Rattus norvegicus: one gene and its partner. Each later gene encodes a partner of the first gene's protein in a complex. Links are inferred from orthologs where the notes say so. Each region holds a gene or a part of one and is shown on either strand. Other genes may lie near its edges.

The links.
Region 2: Cdhr2 (region 1) and Anks4b share a complex: the UniProt entries of both Homo sapiens proteins name them as parts of the IMAC/intermicrovillar adhesion complex. The link is inferred for Rattus norvegicus from reciprocal best matches to the Homo sapiens genes CDHR2 and ANKS4B.

The regions. Positions count from the first base shown.
Region 1 is NC_086035.1:9,910,996-9,922,074, reverse strand, and holds the start of Cdhr2 (cadherin-related family member 2 precursor), read left to right. Parts: upstream 1-4,376; 5' UTR 4,377-4,472; intron 4,473-11,079. UniProt on the Homo sapiens protein: Intermicrovillar adhesion molecule that forms, via its extracellular domain, calcium-dependent heterophilic complexes with CDHR5 on adjacent microvilli. Thereby, controls the packing of microvilli at the apical membrane of epithelial cells.
Region 2 is NC_086019.1:183,977,420-183,981,601, reverse strand, and holds the start of Anks4b (ankyrin repeat and SAM domain-containing protein 4B), read right to left. Parts: upstream 2,801-4,182; 5' UTR 2,780-2,800; coding exon 2,616-2,779; intron 1-2,615. UniProt on the Homo sapiens protein: As part of the intermicrovillar adhesion complex/IMAC plays a role in epithelial brush border differentiation, controlling microvilli organization and length. Plays a role in assembly of the complex.

The DNA of each region.
Region 1 (11,079 bases):
TTTGTGTCTTGGCTACCAGGACTCTTAGAGACATTTTTCATGGACTACTTCCTTCACTCAGAACACCAGGATATATTCTGTGGATACAATTCAATTATAGATTCCCATTCCCTCATTTGTTTGTCTATCTACCTACCTATCTACAATTTATCTATCTATTTATCTATCTATCTATCTCTTTTCCTTTGTTTTTCAATAATGGGTTTGTGTTAACATGGCTATCTTGGAACTCATTATGTAGACCATGCTAGCCTTGAACTCAGAGATCCACCTGTCTCTTCCAAAGTCTGGCATTAAAAGTTGTGTTCCAGCATAACCAGCTACCTATATCTTAATCAAATGTCTTAAATTTGAGAGGGTTTGGGGATCAAACTACTCTGACAAAATGTCCATCTATATCGATTACACGGCACAGATCTACTGAGCGTGAACCGGATGTGGCTCTGCGGAGGACTAGTAGGCAGCCTAATAGTAGTAATGAGACAGCATGCATCTGAGGAAAGCTTGGTCTGGGGAAGCCCAAGTGAGTGGCAGCAGTGTGGGCGGGTCATCTCTGCTGTCCTCCAGGCAGCACTCCAGGAGTGATGTCTTAGTTCTTTGGTCTTTTAAACATTTTTCTTTACATCTGGGGAGTGGGGCATGCATGTGCCACCGCTCCTATGTGGAGGTCAGAGTGAGCTCTCTTCTTCCAGCTAGGTCCTAGGGGTTGATTCAGGTTGTCCTTTACCTGCTGAACCATCTCCCTGGCGGTGTTTCTCTAGTCTTCCTAAGAATCCTATAAAGCTGGGCGGCGGTGTGCATGCGTTTAGTCCCAGCACTTGGGAGGCAGAGGAAAGTCACTATGAGTCGGAGGCCAGCCTGGTCTACAGAGCAAGTCACTAAGAAGATATTGTTTCTATTTTCTTTTTGTTCGTTTGTTTTTAAGACAGGGTCTGCCTCCAGAGCAATGGATTAAAGGCCTCCGCCACCACCACCCCTCCCTGCCCCCGTGTTTCTGTTTCTGAGTTCTGGGTTTGTTTGTTTTTTGTTTTTTTTTCTTCTTCTTTCTTTATTCCTTATTTAGTTATTCATGCATTCCTTCTTCTGGAAGTAAATGTAAAGACAGTTTATTGAGAAAGGGAAAGTACTCTTTTCTTTTTTTTTTTTTTTTTTTTCCTTTTGTTCGGAGCTGGGGACCGAACCCAGGGCCTTGCATTTGTAGGCAAGTGCTCTACCACTGAGCTAAATCCCCAACCCGGGAAAGTAATCTTGAGAATGGGAGTGAGCTAGTGAACTGCTTGGTGGGGGGCACTAGCTCTTAAAGTGCAGGGGCCCGCCCCTAATTTACATATCATTTACATAGTGCCTGTTTCTACCACTTTCGTTTTTTTTTCTTTTTTTCCATCTTTGTTACCTTGGGTATTTCTTATTTACATTTTGATTGTTATTCCCTTTCCCGGGCCAACATCCCCCTAACCCCTCCCCCTCTCTTTCTCTATGGGTGTTCCCCTCCCCATCCTCGCCCCCCCCCAGTTCTGTTTTACTTAGTCTTGGGGTATCTCACTTATTTGCCCTCAGGACATTAAAGCAGCTATGTGATGCCCTAGTCACTTTTTTACAGTTTAGACTCCAGATTGGGAGGAAAAAAAATCCATGCTTTCAACCATTCCAAATGAAGCTGATTACTTGAGACTATTAAATTTGCCTGCCTGCCTTCCTTCCTTCCTTTTCCTTATTTCCCTCCTTCCTTCCTTCCTTTCTTTCTTTTTTCTTTCTTTCTTTCTTTCTTTCTTTCTTCCTTTTCTCTTTTTTTATTGGATATTTTAATTTACATTTCAAATGTTATTCCCTTTCCAAATGTCCCGTCCATAGGCCCCCATCCCTTCCCCCTTCTTCTATAAGGGTGTTCCCCCTCCCCAACCATCCTTCCTTCCTACCTCCCCACCCTGACCTCTCCTACACTGGGGTCCACCCTTGGCAGGACCAAGGGCTTCTCCTCCCATTGGTGCCCAACAAGGCCATCCTCTGCTACATATGCAGCTGGAGCCATGGGTCTGTCCATGTGTACTCTTTGGATGGTGGTTTAGTCCCTGTGAGCTCTGGTTGGTTGGCGTTGTTGTTCTTATGGGGTTGCAAACCCCTTCAGCTCCTTCAATCCTTTCTCTACCTGCTCCAATGGGACTTCCTTTGCTATTAAGATGCTATGTCGCCCATGCTGGCCTTGAACCCATCATTCTCCTGCCTGTCCCTTCCTGCAGGGATTATAAGCACGGGCCAACATGGCTGGCTTCTCATTCTTTTTTTTTTTTTTTTTTTTTTTTTATTAACTTGAGTATTTCTTATATACATTTCGAGTGTTATTCCCTTTCCCGGTATCCGGGCAAACATCCCCCCTGGCTTCTCATTCTTACAACCAAACCTGTCCATTTTCTGTGACTCTAACTCTGACAGGCTAGGCCTCAGCCACATGTCCAGCATGGAGTGGAGGAGCCGCGTTTCTGGGTTTCCTAGAAGAAACTAGAGGACCGTTCCCTGGGTAAGGGCTCCTAGGCTATTTGGACACTGGTACCCATGATGGGGGTCAGGGTCGGGGAATGCTTTGTGGGCAGGGAGAGCATAGAGAATACCCCCAGGGGAAGTAATGGGGAGGAACAGGGCACCCTTTTCTGTCTGAGAGTGGGCTCCTCTCAGCCAGTGACTGAGAAACAAACATGAATTTAAGCTCCGTTCCTGGTGGGGGGATTGACCCCACAAGCATAGTCCTTAATTCTGGTGGTATCCAGCATCCATGAGACACAATGTAAAGCACACAGTAGGTTGAAGTGGAAACTTCCGGTTTCTTTGGAAAGTCGGTGATCTCAGGTGATGTTTTGCTGGGGCACACAGGCAAAAGGATGCTCTGCTAAAGCGGACACGTGAAAGGACGTGTGGTGTTTAGAAAGATTTTAAATATGACCCCACAGACAGTGGGAGCCCCAGCGTTGATTGGTTCCATTCACTCCACCTCACTCACTAGTCTTCGCTGTCGACCTCCATGTATTGGTTGGCATTACATTGTGTACTCACTCCGGCCAGTTGGCGAGACTCAAGGTTTCTTCTGATTCCCGTGCGGTGTCTGCTGAGAAGACTGGGCTGCTGGTGTTGATTCGTGTTTGGTGTTTGCTTGTGGATTGAACTAAGGAGATTAGAAGATTCCCAAAGAACTGTCTCTAAACAGGTCCACTTCCCTAGTATCCTAATAACCTTTCTTTTCTACTACCCCTGGAGGGTGGCGGGCTCGAGGGGAGGTTGAACCCTTATTAAAGCAGGTTGAGAAAAATTTATGCCTACACTAGGTGCTCAATAAATACGGATTCTAGCCCCTCCCCCAGCGACTTGAGGCCAGTCTTCGCCAGGACCTTGAAGAACCATGAGTTCTTTTGGTGGATTTGGTGCTCCCTGAGAACTTGTGTCAGCACACCAAAACCTCAAAGGGATGCCTCAGTATCAAGAGGGAGCAGCAGCTTCCTCAGGCCACTCAGGTAGGAAGAGGCACACGGCTGTGCTATGCGGTTGGATGAAATGAACTTGGGAATTGTTCCCCCATGGGAGGCAACCACTGGGAGTGTGTGACCCTGCCCTTATGAGTGTGAGGAGACCCTGGGGCAGTGTGTGAACCTGCCCTTTGATTTTGATTTTGATTTTGTTGGTTTTTATTTTTGGTTTGTTTCTCTGCATAACTCTGGTTGCCCTGGAACTCGCTGGCCTCAAACTCTGAGATCTATGGGCATCTGCTTCCCAAATCCCGGGATCGAAGGCGCCACTTCCCCAGCTCACCTTTGTTTCTGAGAGATAACATCTCGCTGTGTCTGGTCTAAAACTTGTTCTATAGACCAGCTGGTCCTGGAACTCATAGGGATCCACTTGCCTCAGTCTTCTGAGGGCTGGGATTAAGGGCATGTGCCACTATGCCCTGCATTGACCCTGACCTTTGATGTCCTGCTTGGAGGGGACAGATATGGGGCTGAAAAGGCTTCAGGGTGCCCTTTCACACCAGCCTCAGGCCTTGGCTTGAAGGCTCAGTGCTTGATAACTGTCAAGTCTCCTCACCCCAACAGATCTCCCCACCCCACTTTCTCCACAGGTCCCCTCTCCAGAAGATGAACCAGGAGAGGAGAGATGGCCCTGACATGTCCCCTGACTGTCACCATCTCCAGTTTGCAGCAGAACCCTGGGCTGGACATCTGCCCCTTCTCTGGCAGTGGGACTGCCTACTCCTCTAGTACCTCAGCCCTAGGGCCTTGCCCGCCCTAGCTGCAGCCAGTGCCTTCTGAGGAGGTGTGGTCTCTGTATGGTTAATGATTGCTCCGGGGAGGTGGAGATGGTGCCAAAGTCTGCAGCTGTGTTCTGCCGGGCCCAGACAGTGCTCACCTGTGACTGGGTGCACATCACCACCTCTGGGCCCCTTCCAGGGGTTGTCCAGCTCAGCTGCTTCGGGGGCTCTTAGCCCAGGGGTAAGCCGGGGTCCTTGGGATTGAGGCAAACTTTGAGGTCTTTCCGACTTGGCATCTGGAGCGTGGCGGGGACACCAGGGGGAAGAGCTAGCTGTGTCATTAGCCACTGGGATGGGCAGAGCCAGGCTTGAGTTGGTGAGGCCACCAGTGAAGCCTGTTTCTTCTGGAATGCAGGGCTAAGACCTCCTTCCTCTCCAGGCAGTGACCACCTCCTGCTGTCCCTGGGGTATTTCTAGCCTGAGGAGAAGGGTTCCCCTAGGAAACTAATCGACAACCTCATCTGTTATCTGAAAGGGGAAGATGAGGAAGATGGCTGAATCTGGCCATGGGCCCGAGGGGGAAAGGCTGGCTCCACTCCGCCTGGCTCAGATCTTCATTCAGCTCCTTGCAGACTCTGAGTGAGCTGCTGACTGCTTTTGGTCCTTGGTCTCTGCATCGGTGGGGTGGCATGATACTAGTAACCTGGGGAGGGCTTGTGAAGTAGACATGGCAGGGGTTGGAGGCTGTCCCTCACAGACTCAGAGATCAAATGCTAGGTCACCTCAGGGAGGACTAACTATGCTGGTCCCAACCCTAACTTAATCCTCATCCTGGTCACAGGGTAAAGACTCAGCTGGGCCAGCTCGTCTTTAGACAGGACTTACTTGCTGGTTGCTCCCAGGCAGCATTTCAGAGCATAATGCCGATCTCCTGATCGGCACAGGACGTAGCCTGCCCTCACCTTACTCCTCAGAGGAAAACTGTAGCTGAGGGTAGGGCAGGCTTGTATGTGAAATGCTGAAATCCAAACCTGGGGCCTGATCCATATCTGTCCCCTCAGAAGAAGCAGCCAAGAGGGCGGGCACCATCTCTGGCTATAAGAAGCCTAGTATACCTGGGGCATGGACACTTAAAGGTCCCTGGGTCCCTATCTTTGCAGCTGCATCACTTGGCTGGGCTGGTGGGATCAGAAGAGACCCCTGTAGGGTCAGCAGAGTGGTACCTGGGTCCAGCCTTGCCCGCTGCTGGTGTTTAACCCTTTGTGGTTGGCCGTCCGAAAAGGTTGATGAACAGTAACGGTAGGATAGCTGCTCCCAGAGATCAGCTGTGCGAAGGAGTAAAAGAAAGCAGAAGTGAAAGGAAGGGCTCAGGGAACTTCTGAGGCTGCGGCAGGGCGGGGTGGCTGTGGGGTGAGGAAGCCTGTAGCTGGGTCATTAGTGGAGGAGGGCTCCCTTCCTCTGTGGCCTTCCAAGAGGTCTGGGATCCTCACATCCAGTGGACTGAACTGTAGAGCCTTTGGTTTCCTGGAGTCTTGTGAGCTGCGGCCAGCGTGTCCTCTGAGATAAGAGGGAGGAGCCCCCTTGCTGTGGATGGCCTGGGTCTGGGAGCCTGGGGGTCCATCGAGTGATCTGGAGCCCCTGGTGTTCCCGACTTTTCCTCAGACACGTTATAGCATGAGTAGCTGAGTATTTTTGCTTTTAGGGGACACTAAATAATTGAACACACTGATGGAACACACCAGAACATCTCCTCATTCCATGGCTTGCCCGGCACAGCTAGCCTGCTTCAGTAGAGAGCCTCCTGCCCAGCCTCAAATAAGGCGGCAGGAGCTTGGGAGCAAGCACCTTGGATTTCTAGGGTCTAGATCTGTTCTTTCTTCCTCTCCTCTTCTTCATCTTCCCCATCTTCTTCTTCCTCCCTCCCTGCTTCTCTCTCCTTTTACAGGTCTCTCCATACAGCTGAGGCTAGTCTAGAACTAGAGAGCCTCCTCTCTCCTGAGTAATAGGATACTGGTGGCACTCCAGGCCCAGCTTCCGATCTCTTAAAGATACAAACTATATCAGGCGCAAAGTGGACGGGGGCTGGCATCAGTGGTGTCTCACGTGAGCCTACGTTTGACTTTTGGTCCCTCCGAGGAGGAAAGGGCACCTGGGGGAAGTTTCCCCAGCTCCAGTACCTGGGCACATCCCCTCTCTTCTCCTGTATGTCCTGTAGCATATGACCCCTGACTGGAGCTCAGAGACTCTAGCTGTGACCTGAGCCTTGAAGGACAGAGAGAATTTGCACAAGGGCAAGGGACACAAGAGGGCCTTTGGCGCAGAAGAGACACATGCAAATCAAGGGGAAAGATGATGCAGTGTGTGTGTGTGTGTGTGTGTGTGTGTGTGTGTGTGTGTGTGGGTGCGGACTGTGGACAGGATACGGCAAGAGGGAAAGGGAACCACTCTTGGAAGGTGAGACCCAGGTCCCCTAAGGATTTGGCTTGCCAAAGGTGGGAAGTGTGTCCAACAGCTGGTCTGAGCCTTTGCACAGGTCAGGTCTTGGGAGTGCCTGTGCCATCGAGGTGAGGCAGGTCACCAGGTGCTTCCAATCTCACAACACATTTTTCTTAAGTGATGGAGTCTGGGAGATGCTGCTGTCAAGTGCAGAACTTTGGCCTTATTATTGTTAGTGAGTATGCTTGTGAAAAGTCACTGTGACAAAGGGGACAAGGCTGAGAAACTTAGGGTCAACTCATCCAGTATAGGAAGGAGAATCCAAAGGAGTTCTAGGAGTGAGTCAGACATGACTCTGTGACTGCTGGACAGGAAACCTAGCTTCCTGGAGACTTGAGAATCCCCATAGGCAAAACAGAGTATCTAAGCCATCTCTCCAGGAGTGACTCAACAGGGATGGCGCGTGAGCTTTCAGGTGTGGGGCACTATCACCTGAGTTACACCATGAGGACAGGAGGGAAAGTAGGAGGAAACAGAGAAGGGGGCTTGAGTGGAGCCTGCAAGGGGCCATGGGGAACAAAGGTCCCAGTTTGGTTTCTTTGTCCTCAGCTGCACCTTTCTAGGGGTTCTGAGTAACCTGGGAGAGAGAAATGTGTATATGAGTGTGTGTGTGTGTGTGTGTGTGTGTGTGTGTGTGTCTGTGTGTGTATGTGTGTGTCAGTGTGTGTCAGTATGTGCATGTGAGTGTGTGTGTGTATGTGTGTGTCAGTGTGTGCATGTGAGTGTGTGTGTGTGTGTTTGTGTATGGATGTGTGAGCAAGTATGTGAGCCTGTGTGTGTGTGTATGTGTGTGTGTGTATGTGTTTTGTGTGTGTTTGTGTGTGTATGTGGTATGTGTGTGTATGTCTGAGAGAGAGAGACAGAGAGAGAGAGAGAGAGAGAGAGAGAGAAAGAGAAAGAAAGGGAGAGAGGGAGGGAGAGAGAAAGAAAGGGAGAGAGGGAGGGAGAGGAAGAAGAGGGGGAGGGAGAAGAGGGGAAGGAAGAACAAGGAAGGGAAGGAGGAAGAGAGAAGGCCCTGAAAAGGGAGAACAAGGTTTGTCCATCGATGAGTATGGAACCCAGGGCCCTGAATACATCGGGCCAGTGTTCTAGCACTGACACATATCTCTAAGCCTTTAAAGGTTTACTTTCAGTTGGGTACTGGTGGTACACATCTTTAATACCATCCCTCACTCAGGAGCCAGAGGCAGGTGGCTTGGTCTCTGAGTTCAAGGTCAGGCTGGTTCATAGAGTGAGTTCCAGGACAGTCAGGACTACACAGAGAAACCCCATCTCAAAAAACATTTTTTTTTCTTGAGATACAATCTTTCCAAGTTCTCAGGCTAGCTTTGAACTCTCAGCCTTCCTCCCTCCCTTCCCAAATAGCTGGGATTACAGGCATACCCAGCTGCCTGCCTTCGGATTGGTGTCCTGCTATCGGCTGTGGTGGGTTCCTTCCAAGCTTCTTTGCTAACAACTGATAACAGGTGCAAAGGGTCAGCCCAGCACTGCCCAGCATCATTAACTCCCTCCCCGGGGTGAACTGGGTAGAGAGACTTCCTTCCTGGAGATGGGCTGAGGTGAACTTTGTGACATGACTGGATGAATTGTGCATGCATCAGCGATTGATCAGCCTGTGGCTGTTGCTTTACACCCAATAGAAGGAAGGCGATCAAAAGAAAGAGATAAAGGAGTCAGGCTCAAAGCCAGAGTCCCGAGAAGGAGACGTCAGGTGTTCATGTGACAGCCCAGCTGGCAAGGAAGCCCCAGGACCTTCTGCACACACGTGGCATATACATCAGCACTCCGCTCCCCCCCTGATTCTCACCTTGCCACCCCCACCCCCACCAGCTCCCCCTAGACCCCAGTCTCATTCACTCACCACCATCCCCACCCTGAACTCTTTCCCCAGACGCACACCTTGGCTTCATTTGTGGCAAGCCTTGCCCTCCCTGGTTGGTATCCTATGACCTCTCTCTACATTCAATCTCAGAGCATGGGGGATGGAGTCTCGGGAAAGAGCAGGCTCCATTGTGACTCCAGTGAGATCGCAGAGGCAAGGTGAGGTGTAAGCTCTTGCACAAAAGGGAGGGGTTCAAGTCCATGGAGCCCCTGAGAGCTATAGGTATATGGGTACGCAGCACACCACCCACAGAACAGGGCAGGGCAGGGCAGGGAGAGGAGAGCCCAAGCTCACTGAGAGTCGCCCCCGGACTGACTTCCACTGGCTGTCACTGGTGTTGTTCGCTCTGTTTTTCTGCTTATTTTATCACAAGTCTATCCGTTTACTCTGCCAGAGACGCAAACCTCCCATGGGATGTGGGAGCCCCTAGGCTTCAGGGTCCTCTACCTCCCTTCTGTGCCAGTATACAGTCTTGTGTCTTGGGCTTTTTCCTATACTGGCTTCCTGAGGAAAGACTCTTAAGAGCTAACAATGTAGGCTCGGTCTGTCTAAGACTGTGTGACCAATAGCTTTAGTGGTTATGGACAGAATCCGAGGCTGGAAAAACAGTTATTTTCAGCATTTTGCAGAAAGTCTCCTGGCCACTCGCTGCCTGCTGCACAGAGCATCAGATACATCCCAGAGCACGGTGGCTTGACCGGCCATCTGTTACTAATATTCCTGTAGGAGTTTAGATTAGGTATAGCAAGAGTTGCTCAGCTCTGTTCACGGTATTTGGGGCTTCAGCTAGGATTGAGTAGTGGATGGAGTGGGCATCTCACAGCTTAGCAGCCACAGGGGTTCAACGTCCCCCGCCCCAGCACCGCTGAATCTCTGTGGGAGCAGGCATGTACGGCAGTCTCTAGTGTGTACCTACTGTTTGCTGGCAGCCACCCGCACATTTTGAGACATTTCTGCTCTTGAATGTTGGCATTCGTAGAAGCCTCTTGTCCTGCTCTGGGGGTATCTGTGATTATAACAGATACACAAGTCTCTTGTGTTTTGTGTTTCTCCAGAGTTGGTCAGCTTGAGTTTAAATGTCCTGCTTAGTTTGTCCACTTCCCTACCATGGCTGCATCTCGATGACTCTGGTTGGTGGCCCCCAGGCGGTGGATAGCACCTGGAGGCCACACGACAGGGTGACCCTATGGAGAGCCTCCCTCACACATTTCAGAGTTTTCCCCTTTAGGCGGGTCATTTACATTTTTTTACATTATTATTTTGTTTGCTATGTTGGAGATGAAACCCAGCTCCTCACACAAGCTAGGCGAGGAGCTGTCACTGGGCTGGAGCTCCCCCCTCCACTTCCCCCATGTTGTCAGCTGTCTGTCTCTGGTCATTGGTGGGGGTGTCATTTCATCACCGTTAAGGGTTCAGCCTTTCACATCACTCCATCCCATGGATCTTTCTCCTCTGTGGTGTCCCCAGATTCAGCTGTGTCTGATCCAGACTCTCTGGAAGTGACCCACATTCCTTGGGGCAGAAAGAAGGTGGGACAGTGCTTGCCCATATGGCTCGGGCAATGGAGTCTAGAAGTGCAGTCGCTTCTCTCAGAAGTTTCTCTTCTTTCGGCCCACCCCATGCCGCTGCTTTCAGGGAATTATAGAACTTTCAGCCTTGGTGGGATTTAAGTCTTCTTCCTGGGGTGTATCCCCCATCACCCCTACTCTGTTTTAAGTGTCATCTGCTTGATGAGGTGGCAGACACCAAGACAACAAGTCACTAGCTTCCAGCGTTCCTACTGCCATTCTGGTGGGGTTCTAAGAGGGGGGCAGAGGAGTAGCAGCCAATGCAGGGCCACCCCACGAAGCTCTCCTGCTCCCCACAGAGGCCCCCTCACCCTTCAGATCTTCACCTGCTTGGAGATCTCCCCTTCCAGTTCTTGATATTCATGACTGTAAGACATCGCCACAGGGGTTGGGGATTTAGCTCAGTGGTAGAGCGCTTGCCTAGGAAGCGCAAGGCCCTGGGTCGGTCCCCAGCTCCGAAAAAAAGAACCAAAAAAAAAAAAAAAAAAAAAAAAAGACATCGCCACAAAGGCTACTGCCAAAGGACAATAGCAAGGCCACGCACTACTACACGCGCTTGGAAGACTGGGGGACCAAAGCTTAGGAGTATAGTGAGACATTAAACACACGCACACGTGCGCGCACACACACACACACACACACACACACACACACACACACAGACACGCACATGCACACAGGAGCCAGCTAGGCATCATGGCACACACTTTTAAATCCCAGAATTTGGCATGTAGACAAATCTCTGTGAGCTTGAGGCTACCCTGGACTACCTAGAGAGTTCTGGAACAGCCAAAACTACACAGAGAGCCCCTGTGTGAAAACAGCAACAACCAAAACAAACAAACAAACAAACAAACAAACAATCCCTGTCTTCCCCCCCCCCCCCCCCCAGAAAAACAACC
Region 2 (4,182 bases), on another chromosome or scaffold:
CATAGACATACTTACACACACACATACACACACAGACACATATATACACACATAGACATAGACATACACACACATAGGCATACTTACACACACATAGACATACTTACACACACACACATACACACACAGACACATACACACACAGACACACACACATACACACATACACACACAGACACATACATACACACACACACACACACAGACACACACACACAGACATAGACATACACACACACATTGACATACTTACACACACACATAGACATACTTACACATACACACATACACACACACACACATAGGCATACTTACACACACATAGACATACTTACACACACACACATACACACACAGACACATACATACACACATACACACACACACACATAGGCATACTTACACACACATAGACATACTTACACATACACACATACACATATATACACACATAGACATACTTACACACACACACAGACACACACAGACACATACACACACACATAGACACAGACACACACACTTTTATATAGACATATAAAAGTGGGGCAATGTTACAGACACGCAGCTCACAAAGACGAAAGTGCATGGCAGCTCAGCATTGGCGTTTTCATCCTCACCAGGAACCCCGCCTTCACCATGTAAAGGGGTTCCTTGTCAAAGAAAGGAACTTGCTTTTCCAGAATTTTGTTCGCGTGCATCTTCTCTCTCCTACTATGTGAGGGCTCCGTCCCTGTCCCCCTCACCCCAGATGTGGCAGCAATAAGGAGCCAGCATGGAAAGATCTCTCCCTGCACTGAACTTCTTGCCAACTTGATCTTAGACTTCCTGGCTGCTCTTAAAACTATAGAATAAGTTTTATCCTCTGTAAATTACTTTGCCCGAGGCATTTTGTGATCATAGCACAAGTGCAGGCAACTGACCCAAAAACTTCAGTTCTGAGAATTTACACTCGGGGAAAAAAATATGGACAAGGACTTATGTGGAGGAATAATCACCACAACACTGCAAACTAGAAAAAAAGAATTATGTATCAAACAGGGGGATAAACTAAGAAATAAATTTGCTGATTATAATATTAAGGTATCCTTATAAATTAAATTAAGTGTGTTATGTATTTAATTGCTATAACAAAATTGAGACATTAACTCAAAAGAAGAAAGACCTATCTTGAATAAAGTTTCAGAAGATTTGGTATAGAGAGTAGGCGTGCTCTTTCTGACATGTTCCCCAACTCAATGAGGTGTCCATATCTACAATCTGTTTAATCCAAACAGATGTTGACCCTCCTCCTCCTTTACTTGCCACATCCAATCACTATCTGACATCCAAACTGTCACTCAAAGCTCCGTGTCTACTCACACCCAGTGATACCATGTTAGTTCACTTTTACCTTGAACGTCCCTAGACATTCTCTGTGACTAATGTACAATCGCCAGAACGATATTCATAAGCATAAATCTATGTGACTGCTTCCTCTGTAAATAGAGGGTGTGGTTTCTAGGCTCTCAGGAGGAGATTCAAGTCCTGAACAGAAGTCTCAAGGCCCCTGATAGTCCAGTCTTATGGCTTAGGTCTGTTCCTGTGCAAGTCATGTCCAGCCAAACTCAACGTCTTCTACCCTTGGAATGCACAGTGCTCTCTGCCTTAGGGGGAAAGCACTTCCCTCAGCCTTGATCAGCTCCCCGTCTTTCTCTACTAGCTTAATTTCCCTTCCCTGGAACAGACTTTGTCACATCTACCATAAGCTGCTTGCTTGGCTTCCCCTCTCAGATCTGAGTGCCACAAGAGCACCAGGATGTTTTGTTGATAGGGACCATCTGGACAGCACCAAAAATATATGAGAAGAAAAATCAGAAGAGGAGGGAGTGGAAGAAAGAGAAAGCAGAAGAAGGGGAGAGAAGGGGGAGAGGTGGACTGTCACCTACCAGATGCTAAATATGCACTGTACTGGAGTCATTTGACTCCCTTACTCTTTACCTCTCCCTCTTCCCCCCACTCTTCTCACTCACCCAAACTCCTCTTTTGCTCCATTTCTCTCCATCTAAGTGTAACTGCCTACCCTGACTAGCTCTCTGGCAATGAGCAGGGTGAGCAGAATAAAAGAGTTAGCAAAGACTGGAATCTAAAGCTAAGGGATGGGGTGTGTGTGTGTGTGTGTGTGTGTGTGTGTGTGTGTGTGTAAAGATGGACTGAAGACTCATGTTATAGATGGCAAAGCCAGAAGAACCAGGAGTTTACATCAAGGCTGAGTACTTGTAAAGATAGATTTTAGTGACAAGATTGGAAAAGTAAAATAAAGCCATGTCCTAACCAAGGAAGATCACTGAACCAATAAGCATGGTGACCTCCTTTTAAAGAGTTAACCATTTAAATTCAATGGAGGTGATTTTCAGGGCATATAGTTACAATCCACACCCTACCCACCTCTGCCTGAGTGACTTCTAAATGGCTGTTTCACAGGGAAAGAAACCATACCTAGCTTAGTCTTTCTTTCTCTAAAAGCCAACTACTTAGAGGACCTACAAAGAAGCAAAATGTCTATGTGGACATCTCTGTCTCTCACTGCCAGAGTGGCATTCCCCACCCAGGATGCCCTAACAGGGATCACTCACCCTCTACTGCAGATTATTTCTAGGGCCTCAAGGTTGCCGTGGTAGGCTGCCAGGAGAGTGGGTGTCATGCCATCCTCATCTGAGAGATTTAGATCACGCTTAGTGGCCTCCTTCAGAAGTTCCAGGTAGCTGTCACTTGCTGCTTGGTGATAGCGGGTAGACATTTTTCTGCCCACCAGAGCTTGTCCAGGTGTCTTTGTCTAGGCAGTGCTGGTCACACAAGTCTTCCAACGGGGCTGGTTAATCAGTGACAGGGAGTATTACTCCAGGCCAAAGCTCACTTCACCCTCGCTTCTTGGAAGGCATCCAGAAGGCCTACAGTCCTGGACTTGGACCTTTACTTTTAAGACCAACCATAACAATGAACATTGAGGCCTCTGGTGTCTCTCATGCATGTGATGAAGCACATTTAATCTTTACTGTGCCCATTAACAAGTGTCAGATGTGATACTGACCACCTAGGTACAGAATATGGGAAATAATCAAAAAACTCAAAACTGGTTAAGTTCACTGGTATGGGAGAAGGAGTGTTTTAGTAGATTTTTACAGGTATAGTCTGTACAAGTTGAATTTAACCATTTGAAATATAAAATCAAAGATCTGGGTAAATTCACAGCTGTGAAATCTTTACCATAACAGTGGAGGACAGAAGGCTGATGGCAGGCTGGAAGACAAACAGGTGGTTCTCCAGGAACTCCCACAAAAAAAAATAAAAAAATAAAAAAGTTTGGTCTAGAAAGCTTCACCACTTTCCAGTGTAGAATGATATAAATAAGGAAGGCCAATCTAAACCAAGTATAACCACAGGCTATACCATGTGAACCCAGTATCCTCTGGAAATCAAATATCAGCCAATCAAGGCTACCCTCATTTGCATGGTGGAGATTGCTGTGGACAGCTTCAACAGATCCCATTCATGTACAGCACTATTTCATGTAGGTGGTCTTTTTTTGTCAATGAGTTTATTAAATTCTAGTTTTGTCAGACTGGTAAATTCAAACACATGCCAATTGCCCTCTTGTAAACTCAGTTTTGCAATGTTTTCTCCACACTAAAACCATTCCTCAACCCACTCCAACTCAGACTCTCCCATACCACATAGAAAAATGAATAAATGTAACAACAGAACTTTTAAAAGATATCCTTTGTGTTTGTTAGCAACTAATTCCTACTCCCAACCCTAGGAAACCATGAATCAATTTTCTCTCTATATAGCTGCAATTGTGAGCACTTTATGTCACTGGAATCCTGTGACATAGTTTTGTGGCCTTTATTTAAAAGGAATATGTTTTGAAGGATTTTTTAAATTGTTGAATAATATTCTTCTATACTAGCATATCAAATACCCTTTATCATTTAATTCTCATACTGGTTGGATGTTTAGGTTGTGTCCATTAAGTTAATGATGAAAAATGTTATTAAGAACAGTCACATAGATGTTCCTGTGTAAACATATATTTTTACATCTCTTGGGCATATAGCAAGGTGTGGAATTTCTGGGTTTTGTTGTAATTTCTATTTAGCTTTAAGGAATTGCCAAATTGAACTTGTAGTGTTTTATAGAACA